Rattus norvegicus: one gene and its partners. The protein of the gene in region 2 interacts with the protein of the main gene of each other region in a pairwise test. Links are inferred from orthologs where the notes say so. Each region holds a gene or a part of one and is shown on either strand. Other genes may lie near its edges.

Evidence for each region.
Region 1: the proteins of Nutm1 (region 2) and Ric8a interact in binary tests that used the Homo sapiens proteins (3 or more experiments, as listed by UniProt). The link is inferred for Rattus norvegicus from reciprocal best matches to the Homo sapiens genes NUTM1 and RIC8A.
Region 3: the proteins of Nutm1 (region 2) and Sh2d4a interact in binary tests that used the Homo sapiens proteins (3 or more experiments, as listed by UniProt). The two-hybrid records come from large-scale screens. The link is inferred for Rattus norvegicus from reciprocal best matches to the Homo sapiens genes NUTM1 and SH2D4A.

Annotation. Positions count from the first base shown.
Region 1 is NC_086019.1:205,367,692-205,371,438, reverse strand, and holds the end of Ric8a (synembryn-A), read right to left. Parts: intron 3,024-3,747; coding exon 2,928-3,023; intron 2,831-2,927; coding exon 2,686-2,830; intron 2,608-2,685; coding exon 2,463-2,607; intron 1,663-2,462; coding exon 1,543-1,662; intron 1,176-1,542; coding exon 1,055-1,175; 3' UTR 337-1,054; downstream 1-336.
Region 2 is NC_086021.1:119,516,158-119,519,904, forward strand, and holds the start of Nutm1 (NUT family member 1), read right to left. Parts: upstream 2,553-3,747; 5' UTR 2,443-2,552; coding exon 2,427-2,442; intron 60-2,426; coding exon 1-59. UniProt on the Homo sapiens protein: Plays a role in the regulation of proliferation. Regulates TERT expression by modulating SP1 binding to TERT promoter binding sites.
Region 3 is NC_086034.1:26,173,503-26,177,249, reverse strand, and holds the start of Sh2d4a (SH2 domain-containing protein 4A), read left to right. Parts: upstream 1-1,275; 5' UTR 1,276-1,317; intron 1,318-1,504; exon of another isoform or gene 1,505-1,595; intron 1,596-3,747. UniProt on the Homo sapiens protein: Inhibits estrogen-induced cell proliferation by competing with PLCG for binding to ESR1, blocking the effect of estrogen on PLCG and repressing estrogen-induced proliferation. May play a role in T-cell development and function.

The DNA of each region.
Region 1 (3,747 bases), on a different chromosome or scaffold from region 2:
CTCTCTAAGGCACTTCCCACTACTCCACCCAGACTTCTTCCAGTAACGATGCTAAAGCCAACGGCAGGCATTACTCTGGGAAACCCCACTGGGCTCCTGTTTTCCCGTCCTGTATGTGGTTATGACTAAGCACAGGCTGCTTCCTCCCTGACTCCTACTCAGAAAGTTTAGGCTGTTTGCAGGTAGAAGCACCCCATTACTGTCACAGCCCATTTTGACTGCGGCTGACAGTATGTAGCTGACCCAGCAAGATTCCAGGGATTGGGGTCTTGCCTTCTATCCTTGATCTTCAATGAAAGCAGATGTGTAGTGGTCTAGGAAATCTTGAATGTTAAATAGAATGAAATCAGTTTCTATTTAATATTCTTTCACCCGGCTACTTCACAGATATACAGTCTTGTCCCAAACTCTTTATTCTGTGCCTCAGAAATCTCAGATTTTTACCTTGTCTTACAACTTTTGCCTTCATCTAATTACTAAACCAGTGGTTGTCACTGACTTAGTGGTCACAACCAGTGAGGCTTGGGTATGTGGATACTGCAGTGGGTGGCTGAGCCAGGACCAAGAATTTAGAAGAGGCCACTGACCCTGTGCTCAGTGGGGCCAGAAGCAGAAACCATGATGCTTGGTGTGTTTTCTGACATACTTAAACAATTTCAACAGATTCTAGAATGTTTGAAACACAGCATATGCCCCACATACGGGCTCTGGGCTGGTACCAGCCCAGCCATGCTTACACCGTGTGCACCCTGCTCAGCTACCGCCCTCACACATGCACGCTCATTTATGTGCCAAGGCAACTCTGCCCATGGCTGCAGCCACATCCAAGAAACAACTTCACTTGTGGAAATGAAAGGTGGGTTCCCTGTCTTCACAGAGGATAAGACTACCACAGTCCTAAACACAAGAAACTGGACCAAAGGCAGATGACAGATATGTGAGGAGTAGAGAGAACGGCTCCCCAGCTGGAGAGGGGTGTGGCTTCTCGAGGCAGCACCCCAGGCATGTCTGGAAACAGCACCAGTTCTGAAGGGGAGCAAAGTGGCTGCCATCTTCAGTCGGGGTCTGAGTCGGGGTCTGAGGAGAGCTGTCCCTCCATAGTTTCACACATCGCATCTTGCAGAGAAGTGAGGTGACCCCTGGGACTCATCCCCATGGGTTGGATGAGTCTGTGCCTGCAGGGAAAACACAGTGTGGTTGGGGAGGGACCTAGTGTGCAGGGCAGGGGCTCTTGCTCATTTCTTGGCTGCTGCTTGGACTGCGTTAACTATTAACTAGGCCTGGATCCTAACCACCACCTAATTAACTTGGAGACATTAGCCAGTCCTTCACATTCTTGTCCTCATTTTCATCCTCTAAAAAAGAGGGCTCAATGCTGACTGTACCCTCCTCTCTCTTTGCCAGAAGGTTACCTCTGGGGCAAGTTATCTCAAATGCCCAATACAGCCTCACTAGGATCTGAATCTCTAAGCCATTCTCCTTGGGCTCACAAAACAGAATCATTCCCATGTCTTCTAGCTACAAGCCTTCCTCATAACATACCTGGAGAGCTTGTCAAACATGTTCACTAGCTTCATGGCCTCATGTTCCTTCTGCTCCTCTGTCATGCCTTCCATAGGATTAGGCGGCTTCTCCTCTACCCTTCCAGTCACAGGGTTGATGCTAATTCCCAGGAACAGTGTATGAGAAATGGGTTAGTGCTGCTATAGGAAAAGCAGTGCTCAGTGGGGCAGCAAGTCTCCATCTTCATGCCTAGGGCTGGGTTAGCAAGAACCCACCTTCATGGTTTTGGTTTTGGTGGTGATGGGACTTCAGAAGGGAGATCCCCCTTGAACACCAGGCAGACAACTCTTGCCCAAGACCTACTGGATCCCAGAGAGCTCACTCACTGGGCCTCAGTACATGACTTGTCATCAGAACCCAAGTTTTTTTTGTTTTTTGTTTTTTGTTTTTTTTTATTGAGTATTTCTTATATACATTTCGAGTGTTATTCCCTTTCCCGGTTTCCGGGCAAACATCCTCCTCCCCCCTCCCCTACTTTATGGGTGTTCCCCTCCCCATCCTCCCCCCATTGCCACCCTCCCCCCAACAATCTAGTTCACTGGGGGTTCAGTCTTAGCAGGACCCAGGGCTTCCCCTTCCACTGGTGCTCTTACTAGGATATTCACTGCTACCTCTGAGGTCAGAGTCCAGGGTCAGTCCATGTATAGTCTTTAGGTAGTGGCTTAGTCCCTGGAAGCTCTGGTTGCTTGGCATTGTTGTACATATGGGGTCTCGAGCCCCTTTAAGCTTTCCAGTTCTTTCTCTGATTCCTTCAACGGGGGTCCTGTTCTCAGTTCAGTAGAACCCAAGTTTTTATCCATTCCTTATCCTGTCCTACGTACTACTGGCTGTGGTTGAGGAGGGGCAGATAGGGGGATGGGGGTTACGAGGGAACCCAAGTGTACACTAGGAGCACATACCTGGCCTTAGCTTCCCTGTACTCCTCTGTGTCGGTGTCCTCATCCTCTGAGTACTGGCCCTCGGGCCGGCCCCCAGCCATGAGGCCCCTGGCAGCCAGGAGGCCAGCAGCATTCCCGTAGCCTGTGTACTTGATGAATCGGGGCACTGAAGACCAGGGCAGAGGTCAATGTGTGAATATGGCTGTGGCAGGGGAGGCCTGGGGCTTGGGCTCCCCCAACTCACCACTCTCAGAGCATAAGACAAAGAGGAACTCAGCAGCTACTCTCTTCACATCTGTATCCAGGTGTGTCATGAGGCGGACAAGCTTGTTTCGGAGCAGGTCCCCCACCTCAGGCCGAGTCCTCACATCCCTCAGAGGGGGCAGGACCTAGGGAGGCAGCTGTCTCTAAGTGTTGGCTTGGAGCAGCCAGAGCCCTATATAAAGGATCCCCAGGTCCCCCAGATCCGTCTCATTTTTCAAGTACCTGGGCCTTCAGGAACTTCCTGGCAGGACGGTGCATGCGGGCACATTCTGTCAACACGCTCAGCACCGGTGCCACACACTCCTTCAGCCTGTGGGTCTGCAGAAGGGCTTCTGTTACTGTCATATGCTCCCCAGGCGAGATGGGGCTACACTGCACCCTTCACCAGAGGTTCTGACAATCGCTTATAAAGAGGCCATGCTGTAGAAAGTTAGCTAAGGGCCAAAGACAGTGCTGGGCGTTTATTAGTTTAAGAAGGTATGGAAACATTAAGCCAGTCATGGGGGTACCAGCCTGTAACTCCAGCACTTGGGAGACAGGAAAAATCAGAAGTTCAAGTTCACCCTTGCCTGCACGGGGTCTAAGAAGAGAGAGTGATGGAAACCAGACCTACTTCTGGAAGTGACTGAAACTTTGTGACTTGGGGGCCAACAACTTGCTTCTTCAAAACCAACTGTTACAAGTATGAACCAGGGCCAGGAACAAAACAAACGGAATTTGAAGCTGTCCGCACACCTGAGGTACACCCTGCCCTCAGGAAACAACAAATAGCAGATTTCCTATTCAAAGTGCCTCCCGGACAGCAAACAGTGCACCTATCCCTTCTCTGCCTAATGCCAGCAGCTGCAGCAAGAGGAGCAGGCAGCTGATCGAACTCACTAAGCTTAGCAACATGGCTCCTCAGATGGAGTGAATCTCAATCTAGGGCTTTCAGCTGTGGGGGCTCCACAAGGATAGGCTAGACCACCCGCTCTCTGTATGTCCCATGGAAACCCATAGGAGTCAAGAAACTGGGTTATGCCTCTTTAAGATGCAGAGGACA
Region 2 (3,747 bases):
GAAAGGGGACAGGCCAGTACCAGGTTTCATGGCCATATCTGGTCCTGGTAATGGAGAGGCTGTTGAGACAAAGAAGAGAAGGGAGTAGGAAGAAGTTAGGCCATTTGACTTCCTTTAAGTCCCTAGGGGGTTAGAGCAATGACTCAACATGTGAAGGAAGGGACATGGATGGGTATATTTGCAATTGCCTCTCAAGTAGTCCTTTACCCCTGAGCTAGTAGGCTAGAGAAGTTGCTCCCTTTCAAAGAGACACCATCCCTGCCTGTAAGAGCGTCTCTCATAACACTCCCGAAGACCTTCCCTGCCAGTTCCATAGGCAGATCAAGAAGATGAGAAATAGGAAAAGCAGTCTGCAAGCATGCCGAGTGCAGGCGAAATTCCTGGCTCTTGAGAAGCACTCATGAGACCCCCGAGAAGGAGGTGGTTTCACAAACACTGGCCCATCCCTCTCCTCCTTTTCCTGTACCGCTTTCTCCTAATAATCTCCTCAAATAACAGAAGATGCAGTTTATGAACAGGCTCAATGACCCCAGGACTCATGAAGCTCATTTCTCCAAAAACAGTCCCACTCGAAATGCATGGATCTCTACTAACTCTACCTACTCCACAGGACAGGGAAGCCACCTGATCCCAACCGCTCTATGGCTCCTGTCACTAGCCACAGAAGCACAATTTCCAGGACAGAAAAAGGTCAGCCTAGATTCTTGGTTCCCCGAAATGTCACTGTGGAGAGACAGAAGAACCTTGGAGGGAGGGAGATTTCCAGTACTTTCAGTTTCAACCATGGATGAGTTGAAATTTGGCAGCACAGACTTTCTGTGGACCTGCTTCTTAATAGTAAAAGTTTAGGGATCACAAAGAAGCGCTGGGCTGGAGCTAAGGAAGAAAGAAACCTAGCTCCTGCTAGGGACCAGCTATGTGGACACTGGTCAGGCAGAGGGGGATGATAAGCACCCTTCATTAAAAAGGCCTGCCCGTGTCCCGCATGACTTTTAATGATAAAAACAGAGACAAACTGGCCTAATTTCATTCAATACTTCCTCCTTTTTTCTTAAAAAAAAAGAAAAAAAGTATGCCACTGACAAACCAGTACCACTCAGCTTCCACTTACTAACCATAAAGGAGATATGAAATAGAATCGGACTAATACCAGCAAGTTCTGAACACAGTGAAACTATTCCTAAGGTCTGAGCTCCACAATAGGTAGGAAAACCAAGCATCTCACTGTCTGTCGCTGAGATGGCCTATCTCCTCTATCTGAAAAGCAAGAAAGACTACCTCTAAACAAACAAAATAATTAATACAGTTACTTAAAAAAATAAATGCAGGGGGCTGGAGAGATGGCTCAGAGGTTAAGAGCACTGACTGCTCTTCCAGAGTTCCTGAGTTCAGTTCCCAGCAACCACATGGTGGCTCACAACCATCTGTAATGGGCATCCAATGCCTTCTTCTGGTGTGTCTGAAGACAGCGACAGTGTAGCCGCATACATGAAATTAAAAAATAAATCTTAAAAAAAAAACTTTCCTCTAAAAAAAATGCAGGTCTATAAATACAACCACTCTGGATGACGATCACAAGTTCAAAGTCAGCCTAGGTTACAGAGGGAGTCCAAAGGCAGACTGAGAAACTTAGCGAGACCTTGCCTCAAACTAAAAAGTAAAATGGATGCTGCAGATTTGGCTCACAGAATGCTGAGACAGAGAGAACACACGTGCTCAGAAACGGAAGTCTATGGAAGACCCTCTCCAGAACACTAATTAGATGGAAACTTAACCTAGACTTCCCAACTTCCAGACAGATGCATAATAAATTACAATGAAAGAAAAAACAAAGAGAAAAAAAGCCTGGTGCTTGAACTGACAAGTAGCACCCTTGGGGCTAGGAGGAGTCATCACGCTCTGGGAACAAAAACTTTTACAAAATTTCTAGCCCTGTTCACGGGCTCATAAATGAATAACCCCACTGAGTTTTAGCTTTCTGAGAAAGGCTAATTAATCGGCCTGGCCCAATCCCACTGCTCCACCCTTCCTGGAGTGATCAAGAGAGTTGGCCCTGCCTTCTTCCCATGGTGAAGTCCTAGAGCAGGTCAAAAGACACGGATTATGGCTCTTCCCTTGAAACCATGGCAACACCACTTATACTAAAACATAAACCTCTGTTTCCACCCCAAGCATGTTAAAGCGGTCCCTCTTCCTGGGAATCAAACTGGTAATTGGTTCCCAGTCCCAATATTCAGTGTGTACTTCTGACAGATTTTGGTTCATTTCCAAGGATGCTCTACCCCATTCTTGATGGTAAAGATCTATTTCTCTGGGCTCCCTAATGCCTGTGTGGGGTTTAATTCCTCAAATCCCTATAGGTTGACCTATGACTTGTCCCTAGGTGACACCGCAGATACCCCGCACTCCAGCACCCCTCGTCTTACATCCATCTGATGCCATAACCCAGGGTTTAGGTACACCAACAGTGGCGGTCTGGATGGCTCCAGGATGAAACAGTTGGGTCCAGGATCCAGGCAATGACCTAGCTCCAACAGATGATATCCAAGGAAGGTAAGCTAAAGACTGGGTCAAAACAGAATTAGAATCTTGGACTCAGGCATTCTGTAGTGGGGGAGGGGAAAGGATATTATGTAGTGAAAATGGGGAGATTTTACTCGATGGGTTTTAGTAAGTAAGCAAAAATTAGAAAATCCCTCAGTGAATTTGATAGCATGATTGCTGGGTGTCCTCTTTTAGGACAGTTTGTCCATCGTCTCTCAGATTCCCAGCATTACACTGCAGTTTTCACTGTTGGCTTCTTACTCTTCTATTCTTCAACGATACAATCTAATCCCGAGCCCTGCCCTTTCTCCAGTTCTGAAACTGGATTACCATTAATAACTGAATGGTGTGGACCTTCGGCTTGCTTCGCTGATGACTCTATTTTCTGAGCCAAATTCAGAGTGCACAGTTTGTATACTTGAAGATTAAAAACTATAAACTAAATGCTTGACATTGAAGTATCTCAGATGATCCAGAATGTTCAACTGCTGTGGGGTGAGCGCCACCTTCCTGAGAAGCCGACAGACACTTGTAATCCTAGGACTTGGGAAGTAAGAGTTTGAGAAAAGTCTGGGCTACAAAGTGGGACTCTCTGAAAAAAAAAATCTCTCTGTAATACCCAAACAGTCCAGCCACAAGAGTTCTGAAATCCATTGGAGCCACGGCCTTTTTTCCACTTGCTGAAAAAACTTACTACATTAAAAAAGATTTTAATTAATTGATTATTTTTGAGACAGGATCTCACTCTTCAGCCCTAGCTGGCTAGGAACTCAACAAAGATCTGGCCACCTCGACCTCCTCAGAACTGGTATTAAAGACCTTCACCTTTAAAAAAGAAAAATAAATAATCTTTAATAGTTTCTAAAGGGTTTATGTAGTTTTGTTTTATGTGTATGAATGTTTGCCTGAATTTATGACTGTGCAGCTGGGTTAATGCCTGGAACCTGCAGAAGCCAGAAGAGGGAGTCAGAGCTTCTAGAACTGGAGTTGGAACCAGTTAGGAGTTGCCATGTGGGTGCTGGCACCTAAAATGGGTCCTCTGCAAGAGAGTCAAGCATCCTTAAGCACTGAGCCACTTCTTCAATTCCTTTTGGATTTTTGAGACAGTCTGGCTATATAGCCTAGGCTGAAAGCTAAGACTCTCTGACCTTAGTCTCTTGCACAACCCCTGCCTTAAGATTACCATAAAGTTTTCTTGTTAAA
Region 3 (3,747 bases), on a different chromosome or scaffold from region 2:
GGGTGTAACTCCTGCCTGTAATGTTTTCCAACTTAAGAGTTTTTCTGGAGGAGTTAGGGGAGGGACTGAAGGAGCTGAAGGGGCCTTATCTGGCATCAATAGGAGCCTGTGAAGGCTCAATGCCCCAGTGTAGAGGAATGCTAGGGTGGTGAGGCTGGAGTGGGTAGGTGGGTAGGTGGGTAGGGGAACACCTTCATAGAAGCAGGGTAAGGGGGCATGCAATAGGGGATTTGCAGAGGGGAAACCAGGAAGGAAGATAGTATTTTAAATGTAAATAAATAAAATGTCTAATTTTAAAAAGTTTTCTGTGGTTGCGAAAGCCTACGGTAAACAACGTTTGGGTTCAGCACGTCAGGCTCCTAAATCGATTGGATAGGGTGTATAAAGTCACACCATGTTTCTTGTTTATAACAGTGCTCTCCAATCTCCCCAGTCTGAACTCCTGTGTCATCCCTCCCCACCCCCACTCATACACACCCCCAGCCCTGTTTTCTTCCACACATGCCCAAGGTTCCTCGCCTGTGGAAAAGGCTGTTCCACTTTTCCACTCTGTTCAGCTTTCTCCCCTCCCAGATAAGCTTAGGCTTCAGCAGTGCCCTGTGCCACCCTGGTCCTGATCACAGGGAACTTCTACCTTTTTTCCCCTCAGGTTTCTCTCCCTGGCTGCCCCTTTCCCTAGAGCCTGCAACATTCCAGTCTTTCTCTTCCTTGAACATGCCTTAAGCCACACCTGGAGTAACAAATGCTTCAGAGTTTGATAATTTACTTAATGTCAACAAAAGAGAAGGAAAAAGTAAGCTGTAGAAACGCAGTCACAGAACTGCAGCCAACTTGGCTGCAGGACCCAGGTTCCCAGATGGACCCTGCCTGCCTGCCATTGCAGGCTCCACCTAACAAGTCAAGTGTGGACAATTGTAATTAGTAAGTCCCACAGACCCCCCCTGAGGTGTCAGGGCAAACTACCCCAGACTGTAGACAGCACTCTAGATTAGCCAAGGACTAGTGGCCTTGCTGTCACTGGACCAAGGCAGCCAAGCCTTGCCTACTGGCCCTGGAGCGCCTCCAGCACCCGGGAGGGGCCTTGAGGGAGCGCCCAGTCAGTCACCCCAGCATGTGGGCGCGGCGGGGCGGGCCAGGGCTGTGATCTGGACGCCGAGTGTCCTTCTGGGCCCGAGTGTTTGTCCAGACAGCCCGCGCGGCTGGGTCTCTGCGCGGCTGGGTCTCTCTGCTTGTCCTCCCTTCTCTTCCTGGAGTTGCTGTAGGCAATCTGGAGGTGGCGGCGGGTGCTTGGACCACCTTGCCCCGGGTCCTGAGCAGGTAGGTGACCGGGTCGGGTAAAACGCTGGAGCATAGAGCCAGGCAGAAGGGTGAGCGAGGAGTGGGAACCAGGAGATGCGTCTCTAGAGCGAAGGGTGAAGCACAGAGGACAGGGAGAGGAAGAGACCCTGGTTCCCGCGGCCAGGCTGCTCACCTGTCCCTCCGGTCCCTCCTCCACGGCGCTCAGGGCGAGCTCAGGTGCCCAGAGGAACAGACCACAACGGCTGCGGGTGTCCGATGTCTCGTGTAGGGTGTCCAGTGTCTGCAGCCGGGTCCAGGTGAGTGGCGGCCCCAAGAACAGAGGGCTTGTGATCATTATACTAAGAGTCTCCAGAGGGAGGAGAATCGGAGGCGACTTGGAGTCTTTCAGGAAAGTTGTCCCGTCCGGGCTGTGCATGCACACGCGGCGAGTGCTAACTGGCCTGGGGCAGGTGCACAGCGGGGGCCACCTGCGAGGGTCTGAGCCACGAAGAGGGTGCTGGGTGTCGGCTACAGTACCCACAAATCAGCGGAGGTCCAATCACTGGGCAGTGCCATGTGGTCTCCTGGCCCGGAGACCTTCCAGACAAGAGTCCTGAAACCGGTTTCAGCACAAGCAGAACTCCATTAGTAAGTTCCCCGCGCTCCCGCGGGCGCCCTCACGTGGTACAGAGAGCAGCGGGCTCGTCGTCTCTCTGTGGTTCTGGGTCAAGGCTCAATCTAGAATCAGCCTAGCCAGAATTTTCCTCAACAAAAGTGAGCCATTACCAACCGTTCCTGCCTTAAGGGGTTCATGGGCCCTAGGTGGAGGCACTCAGTGTTTATAGGTTTTCTCAATGTCTCTCTTTGCTATGGTCCCAGAGAAGCAGGGATGACAGCCTCTTGCTTGTGTAAAGAAACAATGTATTTATAATTTTTCTTATTTAATAATAAGTGGAAGAAATACTTAGGCGAAGATTTAGCACAAATAGGCTTTTCTAGGAATATCTATCTATGAAATACTTCAATCTTGAGAGTATTTACAAAACTTCCAGCTCCTCTCACCACTTGCAATTCATTTTGTTTCCAAAATCATCATGTAAATTAATAAGAAAAATATTGAGCAATTCAAAGCCTGACAACAGAGAACGCAAACTAAGTTCTTACCTTTAGGGATATATGTACTGTAAATACAGAAATATTTTAATGAAGGTAGTTGTACCCAGAGTTTAATTATTATCATTATTGTTATTATTTATTAGGCTCTGTATTAATTAAAAACAATTGTGAGGAAAAGTGGAAAGTGTGAAAGTCAGACAAGATCTACAGGTATCCTGAGAACTTAACTAAATTTTGGACTCTTCAGAAATTTTTAGAGTGAGTGACAGGTATGGGCTTGTTCCCTGCTAGTTGTCTTTTTCAAGAAAAATGCCACAGGAGAGGAAAAACAAGTTAACTGGGCTGTACTCTGTGTTGGACCACGAGTGACTGCACTCAGTATGAGACCCACACATCACCAAACAGTGATTGTCCGGTAACGTGAAAGTAGGAAAACCCCTGGCAGGTTCACTTCCTCCTTTTCATTTCCTGTACTTGTCTCAATAGCTTCAAGGCAGATTTTATCTCAGGATCCAAGAGCTACAATGATCCTCAGGTTAGTTTTATGGATTAAGAAACAGGGTCTAAAGATGTGAAGTGACCTTCCAAAGTCATGGGTCACTGGAGGCAGAACCGGGAATCTAAGCTGGTGAACCTGTCTGTAGCTGTGCTGTGGTCTGCTCTAGGAAAGCCTTGGAGAGCTGGTTAACTGACATCACTCAGAGCCAATCAGCAGTCCAGTTCGGTGCCCATAGTCAACAGCCACAGGCACTTGTTAGCTGGGTTTCTTTTGTATTCCCTGAGGCCACCAGGAACCACGGTATTTTCTTCAAAAGGGATTAAACTGGCCCTGGTGGTTAGGGTCTATATAATCCCAATTATTTGAGAAATAAAGACAGCCAGTGTGGAAAGTCAAAAGCCTGTTTAGGCTAGGTTATATTAAAAACTGGCCTGGACAATTTAGACTCCATCTCAAAACATAAAGTAAAGGGGGCTGGGGGTGCAGCTCAGCAGCGGAGAATTTGCTTGGCATGTGCAAGGGTCAGGTTTAATCCTCAGACCACAAAACAAAACATGCCAACCAACCTTGATGCTTGAAGTCTATGTTACACAAGCTACCCGAAGCAAAGCAGAACAAAGAAGAGAGTTGCGCACCTCTTTACTGGAGTACCAGGGAAGGGAATGTTGGTGGAACAAGGCAAGTGGAGAGTAAGAGGAAGACAAAGTCACCACTGGACCAATGCGGGTAGCAACTCTGTGCTCCTTCCTGGATGGTGTATTTTCTTCTGTGGCCTCTCTAAGCTTATCTACACTTGATTACCGTAGGCTTCCGCACTAGCTGAGGTATCTCCAGTTTTAAAGTTCTCTTCCCAA